Linked DNA regions of Alligator mississippiensis. The protein of the gene in region 1 interacts with the protein of each later gene in a pairwise test. Links are inferred from orthologs where the notes say so. Each region holds a gene or a part of one and is shown on either strand. Other genes may lie near its edges.

Region 1 (15,463 bases):
CCTAGAAATAGACACACTCATATTTTGAAAATTGGGTTTCAGCCATTCATTCCCCCAGCTCAGTTCTCCTATGAGACCTGCATGGGAATTCTGAAATCTAATATGAGGCCTCATTGTTTCTGTCACACCTTGTGAGCCTTATGTTTATTTGGGGTCTCTGAGCCTTTCTCATTTCTCTTATCCCTGCTGCAAACTTCAGTGCATCAACTGGCCAGTTGGAGAAAGAGTTTTGAAGCAGTAGTAGCTTGCTTAAAGCTGTTGGGTCAGCTATTTTTTTTTTTTTCACTAAACATCTTCCAGGGGCTGCCAAATATTTGTACCAATGTTGAGCACTTTTCTGGCACCAGCCATCCAAGAAGTTCAAAGCACAGAAATTAATGGCACAGTACATCTGGGCAGTAGAACACTGTATGGATGGACAAACTTGTCATATTGAATGAAATAGTTTGAATGTTTGTAATAGTTGCCCATTAGCCAGTTTAGGAAGACAAGATTCATCTTCTTATCTAGGCCATTGTTTTGGTCTATGTGCAGAAGGTCCTGACTTTGCTCAAAGTCTTAACTCTTGAATTTTATCTTTAGAGGCCTTTAACAAAGTTACCCTAAAAATGACCCTTAAGCAAACATCCCACATTTTGAGAAATCAAACCCTAGGAGCCTTTTAAAAGATTGGAAATAAAAGTCAATTCAGTGATATGGAAATTCCCCAAAGTAATTAAAATGGTCAAGAAAAGAAACTGATTGCCAAGCAAAAGAATCTGTTAAACTGTAGGAGGGGCCCAAGACGGCAACTCCCTCAATAAAAACTGTAACCTACTGTCCCAATTTGGAGGTAACCTCACTTGCAGAACAACGAAGGAAGAATCGCAAGTGCAGGCCGGTTCAGACTGATCACCTGAACCACCCTCTCCGTGAACATGAATCTCTTAGTTCACGCTGAAGCCGCAGAGCACCCAAAAGGGACTGAAGGAAGGGGACTTAGTCCTATCGGTATTGAGGCCAGCCCATTGAACCGTATTGCGGAGGCGAGCCCATTGAACCGTACTACTGAGGCCAACCCATTAAATTGTACTACTGAGGAATGAAAGCATATTTAGGTGTTTGGCTTCTCGGAATTCTAGGATTGTAAGTATATTATGAAAATAATAGTATAGATTCAAATTTAACTTTGAATTGTAATTGTTTTAAAGAAGTACATTTAGAGCATTGTTTCTGATATATGTAGTTATTGTGTTCTTAATGTTTGTGGTATTTCTTAAAGCTAAGCAGTGTTATATGTGTAGCAAAGAATTTTAAAATAAAATTGTGTTGTGTGAATTAAGTGTGTAATCATTGTGAAATTGTGCAATCAACTAACTACTCCCCCAGCCAGTGCATCAAACGAATCAGTAAGTTGTGTGGGATTTTCTCTATTCCATAACCCACTAGAGACAAACCTGAGACAAACTAGCCAAAGGCTCCCCAGCATTGAGCCTCACCCTAGTTTGTGGAACCCCATGTAGCATAGCAGAACCATCCCCAACTAGATCATCCCAGCCAAAGCTTTGTCTACTCAGGTCTTGAAAACCTCCAAGGATGGAGATTCCATCACCACTCTGAGTAACATGTTCCAGTATTTTACTACCCTCCTAGTGAGGAAATTATTCCTAATATCTAACCTAAACTTCCTTTGCTGCAACTTGAAACTGTTTCTCCTTGTTCTGTCATCTGCCATCACTGAGAACAGGTTAGCTCCATCCTCTTTTGAACAGTCTAGCTTCATCCTCTATGACCCCATCTTCAGGAGCAAAGGGGGTGGAAGCAGGAGTTGATGGATCCTGGTTTCCACCTCCTTTGCTCCTGACGTCAGGAGTACACACAAAGCTACCCTATTCAATATTCCTGCTTATTGTTTAATAGACTCTTTCTCCTTCAGTTTAATTTTCTCCAAATCCTGCTCCCCAAATTGCTCTTGATAAGGTGAAAAAGTCCCTTTATTTTCTGCTTTAGTGTCAGAAACTAGGGCAGCAAGCCAGCTAAGTTGCCCTAGCTGGCCCTGGTTACCTGAGTGGGCCTGGCTTCCAGCAGCCTAATAATTTACAGCTGGCCCCAGGTGCCTATATGGGTATGGCTTCCTAATTTTTTTAATTTCTTTCAGTAACTGCTAGGTTACTCAGTAGGATATAAATCTTTCTGCCTAGGTTTTGGTTGTTGTTTCTGGGTTCTGTTGGCTGATTTCTTGCTCCAGACTCAAGCCTGGATGTGTTTTGATCCAAAATGACTTGATGGATCCTGATTTCTACTTCCTTTGCTCCTGACTCTAATTTAGATCTCTATTTTCTGACAGTCTGCTCTTAGTTTGTGGCTTAGCTTGGTGGTTTCTTGCACTCCAGTCCAGTACAAGTGGATTGCTCTGAACCCTCTATTTTGATTTAGTGGGGGTTTTTTTGGGGGGGGAGGGGGTTTGTTACCTCCCTAAGTTAAGACCCTTTGGATTGGAGAACAACTGGGCTGATGAGAAGAAACTAAAGCTTTAAGGAACAGACAGGGGAAGGAGATATTGAGTCAGCATTTGCAATTTTGTTTTTCTGCTGCTTCAGTAATTCAAACTCCTGAAATGGGGGGAGGGTGGTAGAAATCTTTGGTGAAAAAGAGAAAAGACTAGCCTCAATTTTTAAGCTTAAATAACAAACTTAGTTTGGGGTAGGAGAAACTGGATGTGCCTGACTTTCTGCACTGTTATGGACAAGAAAAAACAATAGTGAAAATAAAGTAGGATGTTAGGCTTACTGCTCTACCCAGAAGTTCCCATTAAACATCACCGAATAACTACAGTGTTGGCAGCTAGAGGCCTGTACCTGAATTTTACTTCATGGATATTCTCTCAAAAGTGAACTGAAGCCTAAGACAAAGAAGAATGAAAAATACCATGGCCTACAGTGAAAATGGAACAGAACCCAGGGGTCTGAATTCAGGTCTGAATGAAGCACTTATTCCTGGTGGGAGAAGGGAAATGCAATGATTAAAACAATCAACACTCATGTACTTATTGGTAAACAGCTCTGGCAATCTATAGCATTTATAATTCTCCCCATTTGAGTTTTACTGACATTGCTTCATTAATGGGTCCCCAATGTGCCCTGAAGGAAACTAATGCTGAGACACAAAGGAGTGTCACTCTTTGAGCTTGTTTGCAATCATGGCCTTCCCCCACACTTCTCACCAATAGACTCCACATCATAAGGATTCTTCCCGTTCCCAAGGCAAAAGCAGAGCAATTCAACTTTCCCACCTATTCCCATATGTAATGAACCAGCTGTGGTTGCACTCTCTGACCTACCACTGAACTGTCAGTGAAGACATCAGGGTTATTCTCATATATGAATTTCTCCACCCGCAGCTGACGTAGTTTGAACATCTTTGATCCTTTGTTGGTGAGGAGAGAGAGCTCTTCTAGCATCACATCCCTGGGGATGCTGATCTTCTTCCCCAGGTTCAGCTTGGACCCTTCCTGTGGCATGACTAAAAAACATACCAGAAGGTGCACCTTAGCATGCTCTCTGTTCTCTTATTCCCCAGCACCCATGCACAAGTCAAGCATTGTCTACATTAGAAAGGTTCCAGTAATAGAACAGGCCTACACAGATTTCCTTTTCCTGATGGTTTTCTGGACATCTATCAAAGCAAGTTACCCTAATTCCCGTTCAAAATACATCTGGATGCGTGTATGGTAAAGCATTACTACTGCAGACACACCCCATTTTTCAGTTACCTGAATTGTCCACTGCTCTGAGGTCTGTTCACTTGAAAGCCATTTACACTTTTAAACAATGATGACAAGCAAGAAGCAAGGACAAAACTGGGACACCACTGGAATAAGCCCTAAGAGGCAGCCATGCAAATGGCTGAGATTTAATTCATGAGCATGCCTGAAAAATAATTCCCTGTAGTTAATTATAGAGTTTATTTTTGTTTTAAAATGATCTCTGCTGTATTTTGCAGTTGGTCATGATGCCATTAGGACTTTCCTGATTGGCAGCTCTTATCTAGTTACAGATCTGCTGAGTCCCCTGGATAAATGAAAGGGGCAGTTTCCCTTCATTCACTCCATGCTAGGCTGCCTTTCATTCTGTGCTAGGTCCTGCACTACAGCCTAGCTAAAACTGAGGCTAGGGCCCTCCCTTAACCAATTCTTCACCTTTCATTAGCCTCCAGTCCCTTGTATTGCAATCCCATTAGCCCTTTCCAGGGACAGGCTAAGCAGAAGAAATGTAGGGTTTAAACATAAATACAAGCTTTTTAGACCTTCTTTATCTACCCTAAGCAAGAGAGAGTCCTCTTTTTAAACTCTGTTAGTTACTTTTAACTCTTACTGACATGGCAATAAACTTAGATTGAATGCCTGGTTTTTGTATTCCATTCATTTCAGTGGAGTTACAGCAGCTTATAGTAATAGTGACAGATCAGGTGGCTACACCACAAAGACAGGTGACTGTTTTCCTGCCCTTAAGAGTCATTGACAAGGATGGCATGCTGAACCCTGCATCCTTTGGACAAATTCTGACACATGAGCAAAATCCCTGAAAGGATTCTTTCCTCAACAAGCCAGCTTCATACAGCACCATTCCCCAACCAAGGAGAGAGAACCTTTCTCCTGAACATAGGATGTATTTGGATACACAGCTAGTTAAAAGGAGCACTGTTATAGACACAGGGCCATATTTGCTTGTTGGTGTGAATACAGGGCTTTAGGGATGAACCTGAAAGGCTATATAATAGTGCTCTTAGCCCCATTCTCCCTAGCAGAGCAGATTCCAGAGATCCTCTTTGAGAGCTGAGGAAGGAATAACAACCAGTTACTTGCTTTGCAATTCTATGGAAACCTTGGATAAAAAGGGTGTGTCTCTGCTACTTCCATGTTATCCACTCCAATGTGCACAGACAGTGCTGAAGGAAAAGTACCTCCAGTCCTGCAGGACACAGGCTTGCATTCCCCCTCATTTATCTCAGATGAAGAACTTGACCCTATGACTAGTGAGTGCCAGAATCAAGGAGCTTCTACTCTACAGAAGAAAAGCAAATGAGGGCCACAGATAATGACTGAGGGATCTGTACAGCTGCATAGCTCATTAAAGGGACAAGTACACAGGCATGGCTAAGCAGTCACGTTATGCTCTCATTTACCATGATTTAAATCTGGTGTAACTCCACTGTAGTAACTCCATAGTAGCCAATGATTCATCTTAGAGTTTGGCCCAGAGGGATTACTTAACCCCTGTGGAGGGAAGACTAATAAAATATGGTACGGTTATATGCTGGCATCTAACAAATCATGTAGGAGGGCCTACCTACTGGCCTGGGCACTGCAGGTCATGTTCACCTATTAGACTCCAAGGAAGGACAGGAACAACATGCTTCCAGGACTCTTTCCAGCCCATATGTCATGCTTCCTTACCCTTTCCCATCCCATTCATCATCTAGCAGTCTCCTTTGAAGGGCTAATTCAGACCTGCAGAGCACCAAATAGAGGCCAGCAGTAAGTGGAAAACACAGGATGCTACCTGCAACAGCATAGGTGCCAACTTTGTTTTTTGCCAATGGGTGCTTACAGATGTAAAAAAACAAACAAAAAAACCAAAACGGCACTTTACTTTTAACTCAGTGTGTTCAAGTGCCGAGCCCTGCACATGCCCAGAAGATGCAGTGCATTACTTCAAGCCAGCTCTGAAGCATCTGTAAACATCGGGTGCTTTAGCGGGGCTTTTTTTCTAATAGCTGATTAAAAATGCCAAAAAGCTCCACTGAAGTGCCTGATCTCTACAGACTCTGCAGAGCTCATTTGAAGTAACCTACTGCTTCTTCCGGTAAAGCATAGTTTGTTTGTTTTTTAACATCTGCAAGCATGGCTCAGTGGGTGCTGACCACCTGCTAATTTTTTTGGTGGGTGCTTGAGTCCCAGAGCACCCACAGAGTTGGTGCATTTGTGCAATGGGCATTGTTAGGAATGTGACCGTTCTGTTACCTCCCAGGTGTCACCTTCCTAGATACAGAGGTGAGCAAATGCTCTATCTTGGAGTTGTAATTTTATGTCTCACTGAAACCTACCAACAGGAATTTCTGGGAGATATGTGCATCTTACCTTCTTCACTTAGTTTCCCAATTAGTTTAGTGGACTTTTTCCTCTTGATGGGAGCAGGAGTTCCTGCCAGGGGCATTACAACAAAGGAATCTCTCTTTCAGTCTAAGGAGACAAGGAAATAGAGAATGAGACACTGGAAAACTAGAGCAACACAATGGAACCAAGTATTCTGCCTCTGCTTTGCGATGAAGCACGCAGCCCTTGTTTCATATCCAGATTCTTCTCCAAACCCTTACCTGTGGAGTAACTGCTAAAAAAAATCATCTTCCATGTCAAGCTGTAATGATGTCTTTGTGGTTGCTTAATATCAAGACACAATATGCCAACATATGGCAAAGTAAGCATCCTGTTATAACATAATCTTGCCTCACCAAGACACCGCACTGTAACATCACAGTGTTAAAGCACTGTGCTACACCATGCCTGTTATTGTTTTAGCAAACAATGACAAAAAGTCATATTGCAACATCACACCATGGCAACATAAAATTGCTACAACGCTATGTAAATATCATTAGGTGGTGGGAGATCATCTGCTTGTAATGATGCTGGGGTATCTGCCCAGGAGAAGATACTTTGAACATTTGAATAACATGGAAGCTTAGATGGTGGAACATAGGATAGTCCTAATAAAGTTAGAACTGTCCCTCAAAAACTGAGCAGATGACAAGCTGCCGAGATCTTTCTTTCCATAATGGACCTGGTCTTTTACCACTGTAGGTGATCCACTCCAAAAGAGCTAAACAAAGGAAACAAGTGGCAAGCAGGCTAGACGAAAAAGCCCCCATGCTTTGAAGTCACCTACACTTGTGTCTTATTTATTCAGTTTATCACAGACCCTTCAGGTTTGGGGGACTTGATTTCACACATCATCTTGTCCTTGTCTCCCTTAGGGGGAGAGGTTTGAACTACAAGGCTGAGAGAGCAGAAAAGAAAGCCCTGCAAATCCATTTCAAACCTTCCTCCACCCTCAGTCCTGCATGGTGGTGAAGGTGGCACAAACAACTTCTAGGGGTCAGATCCTAGGCTGATATTATAAACTGGCACAGCTCCAGGGACTTCAGCTTCAAATTGCAAAAGTCAGCTGGCTGGAAAGCCTAATTATGTCATTTGTCCCCTTTGCCATTTTGCACTGGGATTCAGAACTGCATCCTTTAAATTGAGAGCTATGTTAAACACAAAAACAAAGAAACAAGTGCCCTAAGAATTTAGGCAATGTCTGTGGCACATATTTTGCCATGCAGATATTTCTCAGTACTTCTCCATTTTTTTGTTTTGCTTTTGGAACATGCTTTTGAGAGGTGGCCAGACAGCTGATTGACTCCTGTGCTAATAGCAGCTCAGCCAGACCAGACCAGCTCTGTTTGCTCTTGGCAAGTATGGTATTCTCCTGGGTTAGGTTTTCTTCCTGATTTCCAGGGTTTACTTTCTATTGATAGCATCTCCATGAAGTTCACATCATAAAAGTGCCAACCATGGTATATTCCCAAATAAAGTGTCAGCAGGTGCAGTGTAAAGCATGCACTATGCATTCTCCTCTGAGCAGCCAGACATCTGTTTAGCTATATAAAAAGGGGAGGGTGCTGTTTGACAGGACAGGCATGATGCTGCCAGGATACCTGGGTGGGGGAGGGACTGGGAATTTTTAGAGTGGGAAAAGGGAGAGAAATCTGCCTGCCTGAAATATGAACTCCCAGCAGTAGGTGGGGAGAGGTCATCCCACTAGGGGTGGAGCTCTGTTAACACAACACAATAATCCCAGGGTGAGATTGAAGGAAACCTGCTGTGTCCTCTCTCTAATCCTTCACTGATTCCCAGGCAGGCTCAGGGCCAGGGGAACCTATAGTGCTCACTGAGCCCAGGGGAGGAGAGGGAATCCCAGGCAGGACAGGAATCCTGCAGTATTCAGTTGTCCCCTGGCTAAGCCAGGATGATAGATCATTCAGAGACTCCAAAGAGAGAGGCTACCATGGTCTTGCACCCAACTACTATCCCAGGCACAGAGCTGGGGCAAGAAACACAGCTTTCCTGCAACTGGGCTGTGCTCTGCAGCACAGTTCCTCCCCACCAATCTGCAGCAAACTTTCCAGCACTGCTTTCCTGTCCCCAGGCTGCAGTGTGAGGCTGGTCTCTACCTTCTAGCTCCATTTCTGCCCTTGTCCTCTTCTCTCTAGGCTCTGGGGTTGTTATTTTGCTGTTAGAAGAACTCACCTCAGGCTCCCAGTGCCAGGCTCAGACACATATACACACCCCTTTCCCAGGGCCCTGCTGCAGCGGGATGGCAGGATGGTCTCCACGTCCCTCCTCTGGGCACTTTGCAGGAGGCTCGGCTCCCAGCCCCTGCTCACCCAGGGCACACGTTCTTAGTCCAGGTCTGCACAGCACAGAGTGCTGATGCGGAGTGCTGTGAATTTGACTCCTGGAGACCGGTCACACAGGCATCCTGAGGTTATTAATAGTAGACAGCACAGAGTACATGGGTCTCAGATAGCACCAGCACAGGGGAGAGGAGGAAAGGAAAAGAGTGCACCTCAGCACTCCTATTGCTCCTGCAGTCCTGATCCAAACACCATGTGGGTGCCTGGCTTGTCAAAACCATTGCTCTTCTCCCTCTGTATAAAAGCAGTGTTCTTTTCCCATTCAATACTATGCTACACCTTCATAATTCCTCCCCCTCCTGCGCTATCCTATATCCCTGTGTGCCCTGCACACCCTTGAACCTCACTTGACTGCATGGCACCTTCTGCACCCACCTCACCCTGCACGCCACTGCTTCCTCTAAACTTCTATCCCCTACTTCACACCCTTGTAATTTCTCCTCCCCCAATGCCCTACTCCAATGATTCTCAACCAGGGTGATGTGGCACCCTCAGATGCCTTAAGATCTTTTCAAGGGTGCCCCACAGTGTTAGCAGTGTTAGGGGTGCAAATATGATTCACAAGATAAACTCAGAGTTTTCAAATAGGAACCCATACTATTAAAAGCTTCCTGCCCTGTTGTGGTCTGAGTTCTTTGCAACAGATGGTTTACTCTATTATTTTTCTGTAGTCAAAAACAGAGTAAAAACAAAGAGCTGGCATTTTCTCAGTGCTGCCTCAAGTGTGCCAAGGGGTGCCTCAAATCTGAAAGGGTACAGAGCACATGGCAGGGGAAAGGGGCACTTTCCATCTCCAGGCAGAGTTCCTCTGGGCAGCTTCCACCAGAGCCAGAGAACTTTCCTTGAGGAGAGGTAGGCACAGTCCGTAGCTTTCTGCCCAGTCTTCCCTTCCGGTGCCCCGATTTTGATCCTGTCACCACATCCCCATCCCTATTTCACTATTATTCCTTCTATAACCAGCTGCCTGACTTTGTGTCACCCCACCTGGAGAAGACAGGCTGAGGCCTACCCACTCCAGGGTTATTCCTCCCAACTTTTTCAGCAAATGAAGCCAGAGTCCTACAGATCACAGCCTGCTTGATGGCAGGGCCAACTCATAGTCCAAGACATGCCCCCCCGCCCACCCATGCACTGAATGAGGCAGGATCTAATAAAAAAAACTGCAGAGTTAAAATGAAATGATGGATCATCAAAGGAGAGCCTCATGGTAGGCTAATTCCCTTCGGCCTGGTGTAAAATGTGTGCAAACCCTCCCAGTCAGATCAATGCAGTGGCATAAATAGCTGACCAGAATGTAGGGTGAGAGTGAATTGAGCCCTCATAGGTCCTGAATCCAAACCCCAGAGGAGCAATGCTCTGGGAATCAGGATGATGACACAGACAGTAATCACCTCACTACCTCACAGTAATCACCTCACCTCACAGGGACTGGGAGCCCATCTCCTGGCACGCAGCCTCCTATCACTCCTTCTCTTGCAGCCGGCCACTGCCTCCTTTGTGCCCATGGAATAACCTAATTTCCTTCTCCACTCACTACTGCAGTAGGCACCACTTCCTTCCCCAAGGATCCCAAACACAGCTGACGCACAAGGCAGTTGACAGATGGTAAGGTCCGTATTCTCCTCTCACTCTCGTGTGAATTGAGAGTAATGACATGACACCATGCCAGCATAACACAGCTGCAAGTAAGTGAACAGTCTGGCTTTTAAGATTCTCTGCCTGCTGTAGGTGCTGCTTGAGAGCCAGGCACAGGGATCCTCATTCCATGGGTAGTCATTTATGAGTGTGCGAAGTCTAAGTGTAAAACATCATCACAGCCAGCTACCCACTGGCTTAGGCTGCTGCTGGGGCTTCAGCCAAGTATAAATGGCTGAACAAAGAGCAGGTTCTTCACTTCTGGCCCAACTCTGCACATTACAAGTCATAAAGGGCCAAAGGTTTGCACCATGTCCTGGTGATCTTGGGGCTGGTTATGGATTGGGTTAGCACCCTACCTGGATAACCAGTTGCCCAGGTCTCAGTAGCCCCTCTTGCAGCAGTTTAAGTGGACAAACGCTTGACTAGGATGGTTTGCTCAGGGATGAGCCTGGCTTGAGCAGGGAGTTAGACTAGTCAACCTCCTGAGGTCCCTTCTAGCCCTACTTTCCTGTGATTCTAAGTGTTCCTCTGAGTGGCCCCATTCAGGTGCCTACCTGCTGTGTACAGGAGGACACATAGAAACTTGTTTCAGGCCCAGCTTGCAAATACTGTCCATGCTGGGCAGCATTGGAAGGATTATTTTCTTCTTCCTGTAAGGCATATGTAGCAGCTATATTCTGCAGCTCAGGGAACTTCTCTTCCCTGCCACGACATGCATATGAATGTAAGGGATTTGTGCTGGTGGAAAAAGAACAGCAGCTGGGTGTCTGCAAAATGCAGTCACTGCTCTGGGTGGCGGAACACAACCAGAGACCAGCCACAGGGAAGGTCTGAAGAGGAGGAGGTTGGAACAATACGGGGGACCATTTAGATCAGGGGCAGGCAATTATTCTGGGTGGAGGGCCACTTACCGAGTTTTGCAAGCTGTCAAGGGCCGCATGGGTAGCTCCGCCCCTTGACATGTACCACGCCCCCTGGTTGCCATCTTGGGACTGGAAGTCCTGCCCCCTAACCCCTGACCTTTGCCACAAGAAGTCCCTCCCCTTCCCCCAGAAGTACTCCTTTCAGCAAGGGGTTTTGCTATCCCAGAAACAGAAAAAAAAAATTATATTCTAAAAAGTGAACAACTAAAACATTCATTAATTTGATTTAAAAAAATATTTTTGTCCCGCTTTACATGTGTTTCTGTAGTGTACATCAAGGTGATTGTATATAATAGCTTAAAATGAAGTCTTACTCTTGTATATTGTTGGGGGGGTATAGGTTTGTGGGAGACTGTGGTTGTGTGAGTATGTCAGGTGTGGGGGAGGGTGTGGGTGTGGGGTGAGGAAGCATTTGGGTGTGTGAGGAGATATTGCACCCAGAAGTACTAAAGGAACTGGCAGACATCATAGTGTGGTCACTGACCAGGATATTTGAGAATTCGTGGCACTCGGGTGAAGTACCTGAAGATTGGAACAGGGCCAATGTGGTGCCTATCTTCTAGAAAGGGAGGAAAGAAGATCTGGGCAACTACAAGCCAATCAGTTTGACCTCAATCCCTAGAAAGATCTTGGAAAAAAATTATCAAAGATACCATTCTTGACAGGCTAACAGAAGGCAACATTCTGAGGGATAGCCAGCACGGGTTTGTTGTGGGTAGGTCTTGCCTGATCATTCTCGTTTCCTTCTATGACCAGGTGATGTATCACCTGGACAAAGGAAAAGAGGTTGATATCATATATTTGGACTTTAAAAAAGCCTCTGACCGGGTGTCCCATCATTTCCTTATGGAAAAATTGGGCAACTGCGTCCTCTACTACGCTACAGTCCGATGGCTGGGGAACTGGTTCCAAGGTCAGACCCAGAGAGTGGTAGTTGATGGAACCAAATAAACATGGTGCGTGGTGACCAGTGGTGTCCCCAAGGCTCCATTCTCAGACCTGTACTCCTTAATGTCTTTATAAACGATCTGGACTTTGGTGTCAGAAGTGGACTGGCCAAGTATGCTGATGACACCAAACTTTGTGGAAAAGTATCCACATTTGAGGATAGGCTGGTGATCCAGGTCAACCTTGATAGGCTTGCAAGGTGGGCGAATGAAAACTTGATGGCATTCAATATGGAGAAATGTAAGGTGCTCCACCTCAGAGGGGAAAAAACCCACATCACAATTATAGGCTCAGCAATGCTACACTTGCTAGCACCACTACCGAAAGAGACTTGGGGGTCATGATTGACCACAAGATGAACATGAGCCACCAATGTGATCCTGCAGTTGGCAAAGCAAACAAAACTCTAGCTTGCATCTACCGATGCATCTCAAGTAAGACCCAGGATGTCATCCTCCCACAGTACACAGCCTTGGTGAGGCCGCAGTTGGAGTACTGCATCCAATTCTGGGCTCCACAATTCAAGAAGAATGTGGAGAAGCTTGAAAGAGTTCAGAGAAGAGCCACACACATGATCAGAGGGCAAGAAAATAGGCCTTATGAAGAGAGTCTGAGAGCCATGGGACTCTTCAGCCTGGAAAAGCACAGGCTCAGGGGTGACTTGCTGGCATCAGTACACAAGGGGTGTGCATCAGGATCTCGGGGAATGCCTATTCATCAGAGCATCCCAAGGGATGACAAGGTCGAACAGTCACAAACTGCTGGAAGACCATTTTAGGTTGGACATAAGAAAAAACTTATTTACTGTCCAAGTGCCCAAGGCCTGGAATAGACTTCCCCCAGAGGTGGGGCAAGCACCTACTCTGGACACTTTTAAGAAACATTTGGATGCTTATCTTATTGGGATCCTTTGACCCTAGCTGACTTCCTGCCCTTTGGGCAGGGGGCTGGACCCAATGATCTTACGAGGTCCCTTCCAGCCCTAATGTCTATGAAATCTATTTATATGTGGGGCATGGGTGGATATGGGCTTTGTGGGGGCTACATGTTGGGGGAGTCTGGCTGGGGTGTGTGAGGGGATGTGGGGGGCTGCGTGTATGGAAGTGCAAGGTGGGGGTGTGGTTGCATGTGTACGGTGAGTTGTGCATGTGGGACTCACCCTATAAACACACATACACACACTCCCTCCCTACACAGACACACATACATATACACACCGGGGTACCGGCACAACCCCGTGCTCTCAGTCCAGGAATGCAGCCTGGAGCCACATGGTGCTGGAGCAGTTCAGGGGCAGGAAGGCAGGGAAATGGCTGGGGGTGGGGTGGGGCTGGGCTTCTGGCTCCTGCTGCCAGTTCTCCCTGGGTCCTACTGCCCCTGTCTCCTGTAATCTTTGACAGGCAGCCAGGAGCAGATAAGTATTTTCTAAATTTTAGGGGGTCCCTTTGGTCGGATAGAATGGCCTGACAGGCCAGATTCAGCCCAAGGGTCATATCTTGCCCACCCCGATTTAGATCAAATAAGGGACTTGGAGAAGAATGGGCAATGGAAACCAGTTCCCTCCTGTATGCGCCATTCATGATGTCCTATTTATGTGAATCCCATTTGCTACCTTTCCTTTTCCCATGCCCCATTCCTCCACCCCAATTTCTCTTCCCTCCACACAAACCAGATTTCCTGTCCTAACCACCTGAATAGCAACACCTATCCTTTGAGCTGAGTTGCTTTTCTTTGTGCCTGGCCTTTGCAGTGCTGGTTTTGGTCATGGGCCTCCTCCAGAGAGAGAGAAATGCAAGTTCAACCAAGGCTCTTTCCTCCTGTCACCAACGTGATGTTAAAATCAGCCCTGTTCCAGTCCGAGGCTTTCTGGATGGAAGATAATCATGAGGGAAGAAGTTCATGCCCAAGAAATGGATATTACCTGGAAACAGATTGAACCCTGGGGTGGCCAGAAATGTTGCTATAAGAGGAGAGACCTGTTGTCATGCTCACCTCCCCCAGGTTTGAATTGCTCTGCTTCCTTCCCTTGCCCCCATCCCACTGGTTCCTAACTGATTTTTCAACCCAAGCAGTGGCAGAGAGTTACAGTTGCATAGAAGACAGGAAAGCTGGCATCAGAGTACATCATGGACATACACAAAGACCCGGCAGCAGTAGGCATGATGCTTCCATACTCACTGGAGGTATAGATACAAATGATCCATGGAGCCAAGGAAAAGTTAGGGCGGTATAGAAAGAAAGAAAGAGATTCAGGGAGGTGGAGGAGAGGCCATGATTGCAGAAAGTTATGAACGGAGGGAACTCTGCAGTAGGAGAGTATTTCTTATTGGGCTCCTACTCCAGGTTCAAAGACACCAATGAGTTGGGCAGAACCTAACATCTTGGCCAGCACTATCCATCAGGCTCTAGCCTGTTAGCTACTGCTGAACAGATGAAGATATCCAGGCAGACCATGTTTGTCCCAGTAGGTCACTCCACTTCCAGGACCCAGCTCTGATCTTGCTTACACCACTTTCACAGCAGTGTATTTCTATTGGCTCATATGGAATTCCTTTTGATTTACACCAGTATGAGTAGTAAGCAAGCAGAAGTCCCCATTTCTAATCCCAGCTTTCTGTAGCTGCCTATAGTCTGAAAGGTGATACAGTAACCCTCATTCTGTTCTATGTAAAGTCCTGCCCTGTCCTTGGAACCTCAGCCCCGAGGAGGTTATTTTCTCTCCTCATGTGTCTATATATACAGAGCTGGAGGCAAAGCCCAAGAGAGCCGAGGGGGTGGAATGCTTCCCAACTCCACACTGAGCACAAGCACTGACAGCCACCTTCTGGGGCCCTCAGAGGGGCAGAGGCCAAACCTTTCACAGCCACTGAATTCCTGTTTGCATGGCATCTGCAGCATTCTAGGGCAGAGATCAGCAACCCCTGGCATGTGTGCCAGTTAGTGGTGCATGGAGACATTTTCCCCGGGACACCAAGAGAGGTGCGGGAAATTGTTTAAACAAACAAAAAAACCCATTGAAGTTTTGGGTTCAGGCTCCTTGGAGCAGCCACAGGGCCCAGCACCGTGGCTGGCACCGAGGGACAGAGTTAGGGGAAGAGAGGCAGGGGCCCTGGCTCTGTTCTGCTGTGCCCTCCAGCCCGGCCTGGTTTCTGGAGGAAGCAGGGCTGTGGCCCAGGCAGGCACTGCAGAGGAGGCTCCCAGCCCTGGTCCCGAGGCTCAATGCCCTGTCCCAGCCAGGCAGGGGCAGCACCAGGGCACCAGGGGCAGAGTCTGGGCAGCGTGGGGGGAGGCACTGGGGACAGGCCAACCCCTGGAGAAGGGGGGCTGGGCAGAAAGCAAGCTGCCCTGGGGCTCCATGGGCTTGGGCCGCAGCAGGCAGGTGGACGGACAGGGGCTCCCAGCAGTACCCAAGGTGGGACCCCGCCTGCGCAGCTCTGCAGGGTTGGGGTGCAGCCGCC
Region 2 (15,206 bases), on another chromosome or scaffold:
AATCATGCTGATGCTGTTTTCTTGTTAACCTCCAAGGCCTTTCCCGCTCTGCCTGCTAATATTGTAGTGAGAGGGCTAGCGTGCGTGTGCATGTTTGTGTGAATGTGTGTGTGTGTCTCTTTGTGAATGTGCACATATGCCTGTGTGCATGTGCCTGTGTATGTGTGTGCCCATGCATACATATGTGCCTGTGTGTGTGCCCACCCATGAGTGCGTGGTGGTGTAGCTCTGTCTGCATGTGCCCACCTCTGTGTGTGAAGGGGTGTGTGTGTGTGTTGTCTGTCTGTATGTGTGCCTGCCTGTGTGTGCGCACACATGCCTTTGTGCCTGTGTGGCGATGTGTGCCTGTGCATGCATGTGTGTTCATGTACCTGCTTGCTTGTGGAGGTGTGTGTACACTTGCCTCTGTGTGTTTTGTGTGCATATGTCTGTGTGTGGATGTGTGCATGCACACACACGCTTGCCTGTGTGCATGCATATGCATGCCTGGTTGTATGTGTGCACTCATGTGTGGATGGGCAGGTCTCTGCATATATGACTGTGTGTGAGTGCATGCGCATACGAGTCCATACACATCAGAGCACGTCTCCTGGGACCTGCCGAGCCCGACGGTCCGGGGCCTGCTGCCCTGACCCTTGCCGGCCAAGCCCGCCTGCCCCCAGGCCCGTGGTGTGCGCTGACCCGCGGGGGCCGCGGGGCCGGGTTCCGAGCGCCGCGGCTTTAAGCGGGACCCCGGGCGGCTGCGCGGCCGAGCGGACACCGCCATGGAGCTCACGCCCTCCCCGTCCGTGGGCAGTGAGTGTCCGAGGCCACGGCCCCCCACCCCCCAGCCTGGGGCACCCACGGCCGGGCCCCAACTGCCGCCCGCCATGATGACCCCGCCGGACTGGCCCCCCCGGCTGGGCCCAACTGCCGCCGCGGCACCCCTGCACCCCGACGCCTGCCACCCGCCCCAGGCACCCCGACAGCAGGGCCTTGACTGCTGCCTACGGGGCCCGGGCCCCGACTGCCAGCCCTAGGGCAGCCCCCCGAAATCCCGGGGCATCCCTTGGGGTGCCCCGGCCCTGCTGACACCCCGCAGCTCCCCCCACTGCTGGTCCCTGGACTGCCCAGGGACCCCTGCTCCTGTGACCCCGCCATGCCCTGACCCCCCTTTTGCTGCCCCCATGGCCCCCCATCACATGGGGGTCTGGGGACCCCCTTGCACCCCCTCCCCTTGGCTTCGAGGGTCTTCTCCGCTCCACTGCACCCAGGATCGGGCTCCATTTCGGGTGTTAGGAGACCCTCGGCGTGGCTTCCCCCACCCTGTGTCCCCGGGGAGACTCCTCAGTGCTGGACCCCCCTCCTGTGCCCCCCACCACCCACTGCTGGGACCTCCCAGCCTGGGCCTGGGCAGTTCTCAGGGGAAGGGGTTGGTTTTGGGGGGGAACCGGCTGCTTTAGGAACCCCCCTTGATGGTTCCTAAATCCCCTCGGCCACCAGCTTCTGGTTCGCTTCCCATCCCCAACCGCCCTCCCCAGAAGCAGCTGCATTTCAGAGCTGGGAGCAACAGGGCGGCATGGGGGGGTCTGACCCTCTCTCCCGCCCCCCAGCCCAGATGCACACGCTGCAGGACGAGTTCAGCTCCCTGCAGGAGGCCAAGGCCTCGGAGCTGGAGGAGGTGGAGCAGGAGCTGCAGGAGGCGCAGGAGGAGCTGCGGGGGCTGCGGCAGGCGACGGAGGAGGCGGCCGCCCTGCACGCCAACGAGGTGGCCACGCTGCAGGAGCAGCTGTGCCGCCTGCGAGCCGAGCTGCACCGCGCCCACGTGCTGCGCGACGACTACGAGCTGGAGCTGGCCAGCCTGCGGGCCGAGATCCGCATGAAGGGAGGGCCCCGCGCCGATGCCATGGCCCCCCGGGAGGTGGCTGCGCTCCAAGGTACCGCGGCCCGGGGAGGGCGGGGGTCCGGCACAGGTGCAGTGCCACGGGGCGGTTGTGGGGTGCAAAGGACCAGAGTCCGAGGATGCACTGGGCTCATGCCCTGGGTGCTGGCACCCGGGGAGGGGGTCCCGCACAGCAGAGCCGGCACCGGCTGAGCCCAGGCCCGTGTGCCCACAGAGGAGCTGCAGGCACTGCGGGGGCAGTACCGGGACCTGCTGGAGGAGTATCAGACCCTGCAGGAGAGCAACAAGGTCATGGTGCACCAGCTCGAGAAACTGGAGGCTCAGGAGTACAGGTGAGGGTCATGCTGGGCACCGGCGGGTACCACTTCGGGCATCGCCTGCAGCCGGGACCCTATATCCCGTGCCGGCGTGCCTCCCATATGGGATGAGCCGGTGGGACTTGTGGGGCTCCTGCTTGCTGCCCTCTGTCTCGAGGGTCTCTCTCTGCTCAGCCTAGCCTGGACTGGGGGGGTTTCCCCTCCCTCTGCAGTGGGGGCATGGCCTGGGGTCTCGGTGCATTGAACCCCCTGGCAGTAGAAGGGCACTGTGCCCCCTCTTCCCTGGCATCACCTGGGGCAGGACCAGGGGGTGTGGGGCAATGGGCCTCATTGCTGAGCATGGGGTTGGGGTCAGGGCCAGGCCACATCTGGGGGGGTTGGACGGGGTGACGCTGCCCGGAGCTGGGGGGCTGGACTGGATGTGACCCCCCAGCCCGGCTGCGCTGTGACGATGACGGGGCTGATCTCACTTGGGCCGGGGCTGGTGCAGGGCTGATCCCACCCCGGGCTCCCGCCCCAGGGCCAGGACCAAATCGGAGGAGTCCACCAAGCTGCTGGATGTGAACGGGCCCCCGCGGCGGTCCCGCTCTCCCCGGCGCGCCAGCCCCCGCCCGTCCAGCAGCATCTCCTTCAGGCCCGCAGCAGAGCGGGCGGCCGACGGCTCCAGGTCCCAGAGCCGGGATGGCAACGAGGCCGAGGTCACCCTGCGCTTCCAGCTGCAGAGCGAGGAGGAGAAGGTGCATCTGGCCCAGAGCAAGGTACCGGGGGCAGCAGGGGGTGGGGGCCCGGTGGGCAGCCCGCAGCGAGCAGCGCTGACCCACGTGCCGCGCCACTCACCTGCCTGCCCTCCCGCCCCGGCAGTGCGACGACATGCAGGGGGAGCTGCGCGAGCTGCAGCGGCTGTACCAAGCCAGTCGGCAGGAGCGGGAGCAGCTGATGGAGGAGCTGCGCCTGTGCCGCGAAGAGATCCAGCGCCTCAACGGCACCGTGCCCTGCGGCGGGCGGGTAGGTGGCACCGGGGGCCGGTGCCGCGGGGTGCCTGTGGCATGCTGCTGGGGTGTCAGCCGGTGCCCACGAGCACTTCCAGCCCTACCCCCCCCCAAGCCCAGGAGACCCCAGCAGGGTACCCTGTGCACCTATGCCCGGCCTGGCCCTGTATGTCTCCATCACCCCCACACGGCCGTGGGGCCCAGCCCGGAGCCCACGAGCACCCCCTACCCACCCCGTCTAATCTCTCTGTGTCTCTTCTCTCCTCTCCGGGCCCCCTCCCTGCTCCTGGGCTGCCGCTGCCCCCCACCCCCCAGCCGCGCCCCACTGCCGGCGCCCCCGTCCTCTCCCTGCCCCTCGTGGGACTGGTGGTTATAGCGGCTCTGCTCTGGTGCTGGTGGGCCGAGACCTCGTGAGGCTGCTCAGGTACGGTACGCGCCGGGGCTGCTGCCGCCTGCCTCCCCGTGCATGGCCAAGTGCTTGCTGCCCCGTGCCCTGCATGTGCCAGCAGGTCTGCATGTGTCATGCCCCGCATGTGCCATGTGTTCTGCATGTGCCATGAGCCCTGCATGTGCCATATGCTCTGCATATGCCATGACCTGTGCATGTGTCATGTGCCCTGTATGTGCTGCGTGCTTTGCATATGCCATGAGTTCTGCACGTGCCATGTGCCCTGCATGTGCCATGTGCTTTGCATGTTCTGTGTGCCATGCCCGGGGCCATGTCCCCTGCCCCTCTCCCCCTTCTCTCTGTCTCTGCCCCTCTCCCCTTGGCTTGTGCCCCCAAACCCTGCCACTGCGGTGCCAATGCCAACCCCCCCACCCTGCTCCCTTTGCTGGGGGGGGATCTCTGGCAGGGCCCGTCCCCCCAGTGACCAGCAGGGGGTGATCGCTGGTGCCCAGGATCGGTGCCCCGTGCCTGCAAGCTGCCCCCCAGCAGGGCAAGGCAAGGGGTCCCGGGCATCGTACGTGGCTGTCCTGGCACTGACCGTCCCGTGCCCCCGCAGGTCCCGGCCGGCGGGCTGAAGCCCATCCTCCTCTTCGCCGTGGCGGCTGCCGCCTTGTTCCTGGTCCCCTGCTTCAAGAAGGCCTGCACCTGCTCCCTGCCCGCCTAGGTGCCCGTGTCCGTGGGCACCCCCACCCTATCCCTCCCCGCTCCCCCCACCCCCGCAACGACGACAGCCGGAGACCTGTGTTCCAGCCGCCCCCCGGCACGGCCCAGTCACTGCCCCCGGTGAGTCCAGCCATGCCAGCTCCCCCCCATGCCAGCCCCCAACCTTGGGCACTGGCCCAAGGACATCTCCAGTACTTGGCAGGGGCAGGGGGTCACCCCCCTCCCTCTCCCAGGACCCCACCCAGGGCCCCAGTCTTGCCCCCCACCATCCCCACCCCTCACCCAGCTGGGGGGGGCAACAGAGCAATACACACGGGTCCACCCCCAGCCCCACCTGGCATGGCGCTGCCCCGCACGTGGCTCCCTTCCCCGCCGGACCCGCTGCAATAACTACACTTCCGCCAAAGAGAGCTGCAGCCACAGGGTGGGGGGTTTGGAGACCCTCGAGATAAGGGTTAGCTTCGGGGAGTCCTGGGGGGGAGGGACCAGCCCCTTCCTGTGCTTGTTTATTTATTCGCTCCCTGGGGGTACGGGAGAGCTGCCGGTGGCACCCATGGGCATGTGCCCGTGTCACCAAGTGCCACGAGGGCCTATCCTTCGCCATCCTCCCGCAACCCCGTGGCCCTCAGCTCTGAGCCGGCCATGAGAGCACGCGCAGGCGGGCATCCAAGACCCTGCGCCCAGCCTGCCCTCGCCCGCTGCTCCCCCACCTCCTCCTCCCCGCCCAGGGGTGCCAGCCTGCTCCTTCTCCTGGTTCTCCATTGTCACTCAGTAAAGGAACTTTCTCAGCACTTACTTGGATCCGTGTGCAGGCCACGTCACTGGGGGGTGGGCACGGGGGCACCGACGGGCTGGGGTGGGGGGTCCTGCACCAGGGGCATTTGCTCTGCCAGGGGCTTGCCGGGGGGGGTCTCACGTGGGGCTGGTGGCTGCCCGGCTTGGAGGGCTCCTGTGTCCAGCTCCCTCTGGGCGGGGGTCTGTCCTGGCCCAAGCATGAAGCACACCGTGTCCCTGTCACCGTGCACACACACACGTGTGAGCCTTACTCACCGCGTTCCTCGCACGCGCAGCTGCTGCCTGGAGCTGCCAGGGCGGCTGGACCCCAGACAAGGGCATGGGGTGGGGAGGGGGGTGATCGCAGCCTGCCCTGCCCCAGCTTGTGTCCCCCTGGTCCCTCAGCAGCCCCCATAAAGGGGGCACCTAGCTGGGGTGGGGGGGAGCATCACAGCCCCCAGGTCCAGGCCCACCCCCACCCCAGCTAGGGAAGGCAGGGAGGGGACCCAGGCATCCGGGATCCTTCGAGCTCCCTGGAGGTGGGGGAGAAGCGGGGGACCTGGCTGGAGCCCCCACAGCTCCTCCATGGCTCTGCCTGGGGGGGCCGAGCTGGGAGCCCCGGGCTGGGGGTGTTGGGATGGGCTGGGGCCAGCTGGGCGCCAGCGTGACGCGGCCGGGCCCTGCTCTGTGCGCCGTGACTCAGCACCCGCGGCCGGGCTGTGTGCCCTGCAAGGGGAGGGGGGTGTCCATGAGACGGCCTGTGTGTGTTTGCGCGCGTGTGTGTGTGTGTTCACATCCTGGCCCGTTTATATGTGTGTCAGAGGCAGGGGGGTTTGGGGGGTGCGGTCATATCTTGGCCTGTGTCTATGTATTGGCATGCATCCAGCTGTTGGCACATGTGTGCATATGTGTGTGTGCCTGCATCCTGGCCTGTGCATCCATGTGCCAACAGCTGTGTGTGTGTTGGTGTGTGTCTGTCTGTTGGCACATGTGTTGGTGTGTGCATCCATATCCCAGCCCATGTGTGTGTCTGGCCATGTGCGTGTGTGTGTTGGCATATCCATCTGTTGGCGTGTATGTATGTTCATATCCTGGCTTGTCCATCTCTTGGCGTGTGTGTCCATGCCCCAGGCTGGGTGTGTGTCCTTCCATGTGCTGGCCTGTGTGTGTGCGTGTGCATGAGTTCATAGCCCAGCTCGTGTGTGTGTTGGCATGCCCATCTATTGGCACATGGGTGTGCACACGCGCTAGTGCATGTTTGTCCATATCCCAGCCCACGTGTATGCATGTCCATATGCTGACCTGTGTGTGTGTGTACATGCATGTTGGTGTGTGTCCATGTGTTGGCTCACGTGCACACACGTTTACTATCCCAAGCCCCACTCACTGCCAGGACATGGGATCCCCGCACCCACCCACGCCTTCCCTCGGGGGCTTTTCCAGCCCATACCCAGCCGCAGGCATGTACAGACGGCCCCGATCCTGGGCATGACGACACAGGGCAGCTCGGCCCAGCCCAGCCCCCCCGGCACGGCACGGCGCGGCGCGGCGCAGGGCTGGACGGGACTGGATCGGCGCCATGCGTGCTGGGGTCAGGGGAGGAGCAGGGGTATTTCGGGCGGCTGATGCCTGCCGGCTCTGACTTGGCATTTTATTAATAGCCGCCCCAGCTCACACCCCCCCTCGCCCCCCACCAGCCATTCAGGACTCCCAGCCTGGCGGCTGCAGGGACACTCATACTCGCCCCCCCCCCGCCATCTCCTGGCTTGGAGCCTGCTGCTGGGCCAGGACCCCAGGCCTCCAGGCCACTGCTCTCCCCCATGAGCCGCGGGGAGAAGCCAAGGGGGGCCCTGGCTGCTGGGCCTGCCTGGAGCCCCCCATCCCCTTCTACTCCCTGGAGCTCTGCTGCTGCGGGGCGCTGAGCTGGGATTGCTGTGGGGGGGTCACAAGCGCCTGCGGCTCCAGGGTTACATTGTCATTGGCTGCTCTCGCCCCAGGGTCTTGGAGCCCCTAGCAGGGGCAGGCTGTGCCCATGGGGAAACTGAGGCAGGAGAGCACCCCCGTCCCAGAGACACCCGTAGCCTCGGGCATAGAAGCCAGGAGTCCCGACCCCCCCAAACCCTGCTTTGCTCTCGTGCCAGAGTCCTGGGGGCAGCTGCAGCACCAGGCCCCGGCCCCCTCCCCAAGCTAGGGTAGGACCCAGGAGTCCGGGGCTCCCCCCCCACCCCCCGTCAGCGCTGGCAGCGCGTCCGGCTCCGACGAGAGCTGGAAGGTTCGAGCGCCCGCGTCCAGCTGGAGCCGGGGGGGGCCACGGGGCCCAGCCAGGAGCATGAATCACAGACCAGGACCCGAGGCCGCTTTGAACCTGAGCCGTGGCCCGAGTGCGAAACCGGAACAGCGGGGACACGCGACACCACGCACCCCCCCCCCCTTCTCTGCACACAGGGGAAGGGCCCGATCCTGCCTGCCTCGCCCAGCTGGGCAGGCCCCCTCCAGTCCGAGCCCCAGCTCTACCCCACTAAATCCCACTAGAGTGGGACCCAGGAGTCTGGGCTCCCCGTGCAACTGCTCCACACCCCTTCTCACCGCCGGGACCCCAGGCATCCGGGACGATCCCCTCCAGCCTCGCCTGGGAGCCTCCTCGGCCCCCCCCGCCCGACGTCCCAGCTCAGGCCTGGCGTCCCATCCCGGCTGGCACGGTGCCCACCCGCCCCCGGACACCCAATCTGGCCCACTCTGACTCAGCCTGGTGACGGGGTGGGTTATTTCCATCTCAGCCCCCCAGTGCAGCCCCCCCAGCAAGCGGGGGGGTGGGTCCACGTTCGAGGCCACGCATGGGGTAGGGATTGGGATTCCCTTGGCAAGGCCCAGGGGCATCCGTGGGCCCAGCCTTCGCCCCCACGGCCCCGGTGCCCAGGGCAGGCTGCTCTGGAGGGGGTGGCTCAGTTCCGAGGGGGTCCAGGCCTCTGCGATTTGCATTCACCCACCCAGAGGGAGAACTTGAACCCAGTGCCCACCAGCCCAGGGCTGTGGGGTGAAGGCGGGGGCAGCCCCCCGTCGGGCACACCCTGTGCCCTGCCCATGTCCCCTGAGGTGGGGGCAGGCGGGGGCTGCGTCACGGCCGCGCGGCGCTCCGCTCATGGGCTATTCTGAGCGGCGCATCATGGGAGAGGTATGAAGCGCCGGCCGCGCCAGGACCCCCCCTCCCGCCCCCCATGGTGCGTCACGGGCAGCTTTTTCTGCGCCGTGATGGCACCGGCTCTAGCACCTTCCACCCGGCCCGAATGAATGGGCCTGGCTGCCCTGCCCCCCCCTCCCATGTTGGGTTGGGGTGGGGGGAGCAGGGAGACCACTGCTCACACTGATGTGCAAGGGGGAAACTGAGGCAGGGCACTCCTGCAGTACTGGGGGGGCAGGCAGGACACCCCCCCACTACCCCACACCAATGTGCAGTGGGGAAACAGGCAGGGAATTCCCATGGCACTGAGGGGGCAAGCAAGACATTTCCTATTATCGCCCATGAATGCACGCTGGGGAAACTGAGGCAGGGCACTCACATGGTGCTGGGAGGCAGGCAGAACCCCTCCTCCCCCCCCCACCTCGCCTACTACCCCCCAGCAGTGCACAGTGGGGAAACTGAGGCAGCGCACTCCCGTGGAGCTGGGGGGAAGGCAGGACAGCCCCGCCCCCCCACCGCCCACCATCATGTACTGGGGAAACTGAGGCAGGGAACTCCCTTAGCACTGGGAGGGCAGCAGGACACCCCCCCCCCCCCACACACCGATGCACACTGGGGTAACTGAGGCAGGGCACAACTGCGGCATGGGGGGGGCAGGCAGGACCCCGCCCACCATTGCACACTGGGGAAACTGAGGCAGGGCCCTCCCTTGGCCCTGGGGGAGCCGGGCAGGACCCTCCCCTGCTCCCTCCAGCCCCCTCCCCCTCCCCGCCCATCCCCCCGCAGAACCCAGCAGAGGTTAAAAATAGGCTGCGCGCTGAGCCGCTCCCCCCCCCCGGGGGGCCGGGCAGCCAATGGCGCCCCCCGCCGTGCCGGGCGCCCAATCCGCTGGCCCCGCGCTATCTCGGGGGGGCCGCGCGCGGCCCGCGCATCCCTACTTGTCCCGGCCCCGGCGGCATTCCGCGGAGGCCAGCGGCCTGACGCGGCGGGGCGGGGAGCGCCGCCTTAAAGCCCCCTCCCCGCGCCCTGCGGCCACTGCGCCCGCTCAAAATCGCGCTGCGCGCCGCGTGGGACCCCCGACAACGCCCCGCGCCGCGCCGGACACCTCCGAAAGTGCTCGGGGAGCCCCCAGAACCGCACCGCCGGAGACCCCCGACAGCGCCCGAGGGACCCGAGCCTGCCCAGGACCGCGCCCGGATCCAAAATCGCACTGCGCGGGACAGCCTCCAGCGCCCCGCAAGTCCTCCCGGGGCACCCGCAAACCCGCTGGGGGACCGCCACCCCGCATCGCCGCGCGCCTCTCCGAGGACCCCCTAAGGCCGCCCCGCGAGTTCGACCCCACCCGGATCCACCCCCCGTTTGAAAATCGCACCGCGCGCAGCAGGATCCAGCGCTCCTAAAACCGCCCCGCGCCCCCAGAGAGGCGCCCAGGACCCCCCGGTGCTACCCGGGACCTCCGGAGCCCGCAGCGGGAGGCCGATTCGGAGCCCCCGGAGTTGCGCGCAGCCATGAGCAGCCAGGAGGCGCCGGGCGAGGAGGCGGAGGAGATGCCGGCCACCGAGAAGGACCTGGCCGAGGACGCGCCGTGGAAGAAGATCCAGCAGAACACGTTCACGCGCTGGTGCAACGAGCACCTGAAGGGCGCCAACAAGCGCATCGGCGACCTGCAGCGCGACCTGAGCGACGGGCTGCGCCTCATCGCGCTGCTCGAGGTGCTGAGCCAGAAGCGCATGCTGCGCAAGTTCCACGCGCGCCCCAACTTCAGGCAGATGAAGCTGGAGAACGTGTCCGTGGCGCTCGAGTTCCTGGACCGGGAGCGCATCAAGCTCGTCTCCATCGGTGCGTCCCGCGCCGCGCCGCGCCGCGCCGCGCCGGGGGGAAGGGGGCCGGCCGGCGGGGCCGGGGGAGGCGCTGGGCTGGGGCCGCCGACAGGGCGGGGGGCGCGCACACGCAGTGCTTGAGCTCACACACGCGAAATGCTGTAACTTTACACAAGCGCTGAGCTGGGAGGTGCCCGCGCGCGCGCGCACACACGTACATGCACTAACTTCCTTAACTTTACACAAGCACTGGGCTGGGACGCCTTTGCGGGCGCGCGCGCACACACACACACACACACACTTCCATAACTTTACACAAGCACTGGGCTGCGAGGTGCCCTTGCACACACACACTGCCTGATCTCTGTCTCACATACACACACACACACACACACGCACGCACGCACTGACTTCCTTAACTTTACACAGGCACTGGGCTGGGGGGCACCTTTGCATATGTGCACACTACCTGATCGCTCTCTCTCTCTTTCTGTGTCACATGCACACACATACACACACATTTCCATAACTTTACACAAGCAATGGGCTGGGAGACATCTTTGTGGGTGCGCACACACACACACACACGCACACTGCCTGATCTCTCTCACACACACAAACTTCCTTAATTTTATACAAGCACTGGGCTGGGAGGTGCTCTTGCACACAACTGCATACATGCACTAATTGCACACACACATGCACTAAATGCACATGCATGCATGCACACACTAACTGCCCACACACAGACACACACTAAGTTCCTTAACTTTACACAAGTGCTGGGCTGGGGTACCCAGGCACACACGCACACAACTGTACACACATAGACATGCACACATATAATAACTGCATGCGCTAAATGCACACACACACTGACTATACACATGCACAAACACACTATCCACACACACACACTAACTTCCTAACTTCACACAAGCACTGCGTTGACAGCACGCACACACTGACCTCACACTGGCCTTGTGCACACCCACTGCTCTGCGTTGTTCATACACACACTGATCTCATGCTGACTTCACACATGCACACACACTAACCACACACATATACACACTGCTCTGGGGATTACTCACATACACTGATCGCACACCAGCCTTTCTCACACTCACTGTGTTGAGAGTTGTTCCTACACACACTCATTGATCTCACACTGACTTCACCCACACACACACTTACTAACCTCACACACCTTTCAAGAGTCATCTACACAAACTTTGCAAAAGTACTTAGCTGGGGGCATGCACACATACAAATCTCACACTAACCTCACACACACACGCACACACTGCACTGAGAGTTGTTCCTACACACACATGCTGACTCACACACCCTTTGAAAGTCATCCACACTTCACACACACAATTAACACACACTCTGAGGTATTCACACATGCACTGATCTCACACCAACCTTGCACGCACCCATTGCTCTGAGTTGTTCCTGCACACACTGATCTCACACTGACTACAGACACCCCCCCGCAAACACATGCATATGCTTCCAGTCACCCACATAGACACTGTACACACAGTAACTTGGCACACACACACTGTGCTGGGGGTTATTCACACACACACTACTCTCACACCAACCTTGCTCACACCCACTGCTGCTCTGAGCTGTTGGTATGTACATGGATCTCACACTGACCTTCAGGCACATGCATGCACACGCACATTCTAACCTCACACACACACTCTGAGAATCACCCCCGCACACACACATTGCTCTGAGAGCTGTTCCTATATATGCACACACACTGCTCAGAGTGCCACATGTGTAGTGTGCACTAAATTGTAACTGGCTTCTGTCACTACCACACCCACATTGACCTCACACACGCAATGCTCTAAATAAACACACACACATGCACGCACACACTTCTCTGGAGGTCAATCTCACACCAGCCTCACACACACCCTGTGCTGAGCAGTGTTCCTACACTTAACTTTGCACACACGCTGCTCTGAGAGTTGGTCTCACACATACACCACACACACACTGTGCTGAGAGTTATTCATGCACACACATGCGCACACACACACACATGCACAAACTGATCTCACACTGACTTCAGGCCCAGGCCCACTAATTTCACATACACGCTGCCCCAAAAGTCACTCACACACACACTGCACTAAGAGTGCTTGATACACACACACACACACACACACACACACACACACACACACACACACACACACTGCTCTGAGCCACATACACATGCCAATCAAACATACTCACTGAACTCTAAAAGTCTCTCTCTCTCTCTCTCTCACACACACACACACATGCACACGCACACCTCACACGCACTCACAAGCTGAGCTCACACACACTGGGCTCTGAAAGTCTCTCTCCTTCCCTCTCTGTCATGTACACACACTGATCTTACACCAGCCTTACACACACACTGCACTGAGAGGTGTTCCTACACACACACGCCAACTTTACACACACTGCTCTGAGAATCAGTCTCACACATACACCACAGCCACACTGTGCTGAGTTTTTCCTACATGCATACATACACACACACATCTTTACACATCCTAGGCACACCCCCCAGCTCCCCTCCCCCTCAGCTCCCCCCTCCCCCTGATCTCACGCTGACTTCATACACCCACACACGCATACTGATCTTCGCATGTCATTGACACACACACTGGCCTTGCACAGACCCCTATTGCAGGCACGGCGCTGCCTGCCAACCACACACTTGCACACAGGCACACACACACGCTGATTGGAACCACACGCTGATTCTCCTCTCACCCCCCTGCTCTGCACGCTGAGCCCCTTCTGGTCCAGGCTGCACCAACAGTCGTGTCCCTGCACAGACACACGCCCCCCTAGAGCTCACACACATGCACACACAGAGAACACACCAACACAGACCCCGCACCTGAGGCTCTCAGACATGCTGCCCACCCTGGAGTTGGCTCTTTATGTCTCTTAACCCCCCCCTCCCCCCCGATAACACACACACACATCTCTCTCTCTCTCTTTTACACATGCATGCACACACTCCTTCCTAAAGTTGTCCTTTGCTCTCACACAGAGGGCTCCCTTTCTCTCACAGATACCTGGGTCTCTCTCTCTCACACACACACACACACACACACACATACACACGCACACACACAGTCCTTCAACAATTGTCCCTCTCACACAGAGGATATGCTTACACAGCCCCTGGGCCTTATATACACATGCACACACACACTTACTCCTTCCTAGAGTTGTGCCCTCCTCTTGCACAGAGGGTACATTTCCACAGATACTTGGGTCTCACACACACACACATAAACACACGCGCAAACACATGCTCACATGTAAACACACACACACACAAACATACTCCCTTCACAGTTGTCTGTCTCTCACAGGATATGCTTACACAACCCTCTCTCTCTCTCTCTCTCTCTCTCACACACACACACACACTCCTTCCTAGAGTTGTCCCTCTCTCTTACACAGAGGGTACACTTACACAGACACCTGGGTCTCACACACACATACACAAATGCACACTTATACACACACAGTCCTTCCTAGAGCTGCCTCTTTCTCTCCCATGCATACTGACAAAGGATCAGTTTACACACACACAAAGGCACACACAGAGGCACAAAGACACAGACACACATAAAATATGTACAGACACACAAACATACACAGACACCTGCATGTGTGTGCACACACACAAAACATGCACACGCACACAGACACACATAAAATATGCACACACACCCTCACATGCACAGATACACATGCACACACATGCAGACACATGTAAAACACACATTCCCGTCACACAGACACACACAGATGCACATAAAACATGCACATCCCAACATACACACACACGCATGCACACATACACACATATAAAACATGCACACCCCCAACATGCACACACACGCATGCACACATACACACATATAAAACATGCACACCCCCAACATGCACACACACGCATGCACACCTACACATACATATAAAACATGCACACCCCCAACATGCACACACATGCATGCACACAGACACACACATATAAAACTTGCACCCCTGCACACACACACACACACACACACACTGCCCTCCCCACTCCCACCCCCACACAGACAGGCTCGCTCTGCCCAGCTCCCCCACGCTGTGCTGGGGCCGGGGGGTCCCATCCTGCTCGTGGCTGCCCTGGGATGGGGGCATTTCACCGCCTCCCCCCGTGCCAGGCTGCTCTGCGCCAGGGCTGGGGAGGGGAAGGAGGGGGCGCTGGGCTGGGGCCAGGGCCGTGCTGTGCGCTGTGTATGTGCGCTGGCCGGGGGCCAAGCCGATTAAGGTGGGGGGGGCAAGACAAAATGAAGCTCATCCCAGGCCTGGCTCCAGCTGCCCTGGCTTGTGGGGGGGGTGCCTGGGATCGGGGCCAGGATCCTGCCCCCCACCAGCAGGGCCATGGGCAGGGCGTGGGGCTTGGCAGGAGCCGGGGCATGGGACGCCCCCTCCCCCCCCACACGCCAGGGCCCCAGTGCCATGCTGCACTTGTGCCCTGAGCACCCGTGGCGCGGGGATGCAGACACACACACACGGACATGCACCTACATGCAAGCAGACACACATGCACACCCAGAGAGCCTCACATTTGCACAACCAAGCGTGTGCGCACGCAGATATGCACGCATGCGCATGCACACACAGCCGCGTGCATGCACGAAGACCCGTACCTGCACACACACGTGCCCACATACACACGCACACTCTGCCCTCCCACATCCCCTGACACACTCAGAGCACCTTAGTCCCCTTCCCAGACACACACAGAGGCCCACCCGTGTGCAGCCCCCAGACACCCATCCCCCCCGCTCACAGACCCCGGCTCCGGGAAGGGCCACGGGGCCCAGGACATGGGTCCATCCATCCATCCACCCCGTGGCCCTCCCCGCCCCTCCGGCCATTGTGAGCCGGTGCCTCCGCCTGTGCGGGCCCAGCTGTCCGGCACCTGTCACGTCCCCCCCATCCCGGCAGCTGCACGGGGCACCAGGGCCCTTCCCTCCCCCCCCCAGCCCCAGAGCTGCCAGGCCTGCCCCATACGGTCCCCTGGGCCCAATCCCGGG

What was found.
Region 2: the proteins of MYOZ1 (region 1) and FLNC interact in a two-hybrid assay, tested with the Homo sapiens proteins (2 studies listed by BioGRID and IntAct). The link is inferred for Alligator mississippiensis from reciprocal best matches to the Homo sapiens genes MYOZ1 and FLNC.

What each region holds. Positions count from the first base shown.
Region 1 is NC_081829.1:25,423,579-25,439,041, forward strand, and holds the start of MYOZ1 (myozenin-1), read right to left. Parts: upstream 8,546-15,463; 5' UTR 8,330-8,545; intron 6,221-8,329; 5' UTR 6,195-6,220; coding exon 6,119-6,194; intron 3,502-6,118; coding exon 3,320-3,501; intron 1-3,319. UniProt on the Homo sapiens protein: Myozenins may serve as intracellular binding proteins involved in linking Z-disk proteins such as alpha-actinin, gamma-filamin, TCAP/telethonin, LDB3/ZASP and localizing calcineurin signaling to the sarcomere.
Region 2 is NC_081827.1:2,769,078-2,784,283, reverse strand, and holds the start of FLNC (filamin-C), read left to right. Parts: upstream 1-9,273; 5' UTR 9,274-9,759; coding exon 9,760-10,090; intron 10,091-15,206. Other genes in the region: CCDC136 (coiled-coil domain-containing protein 136), read left to right, coding at 1,593-1,916, 2,097-2,214, 2,690-2,957, 3,061-3,204, 4,193-4,300.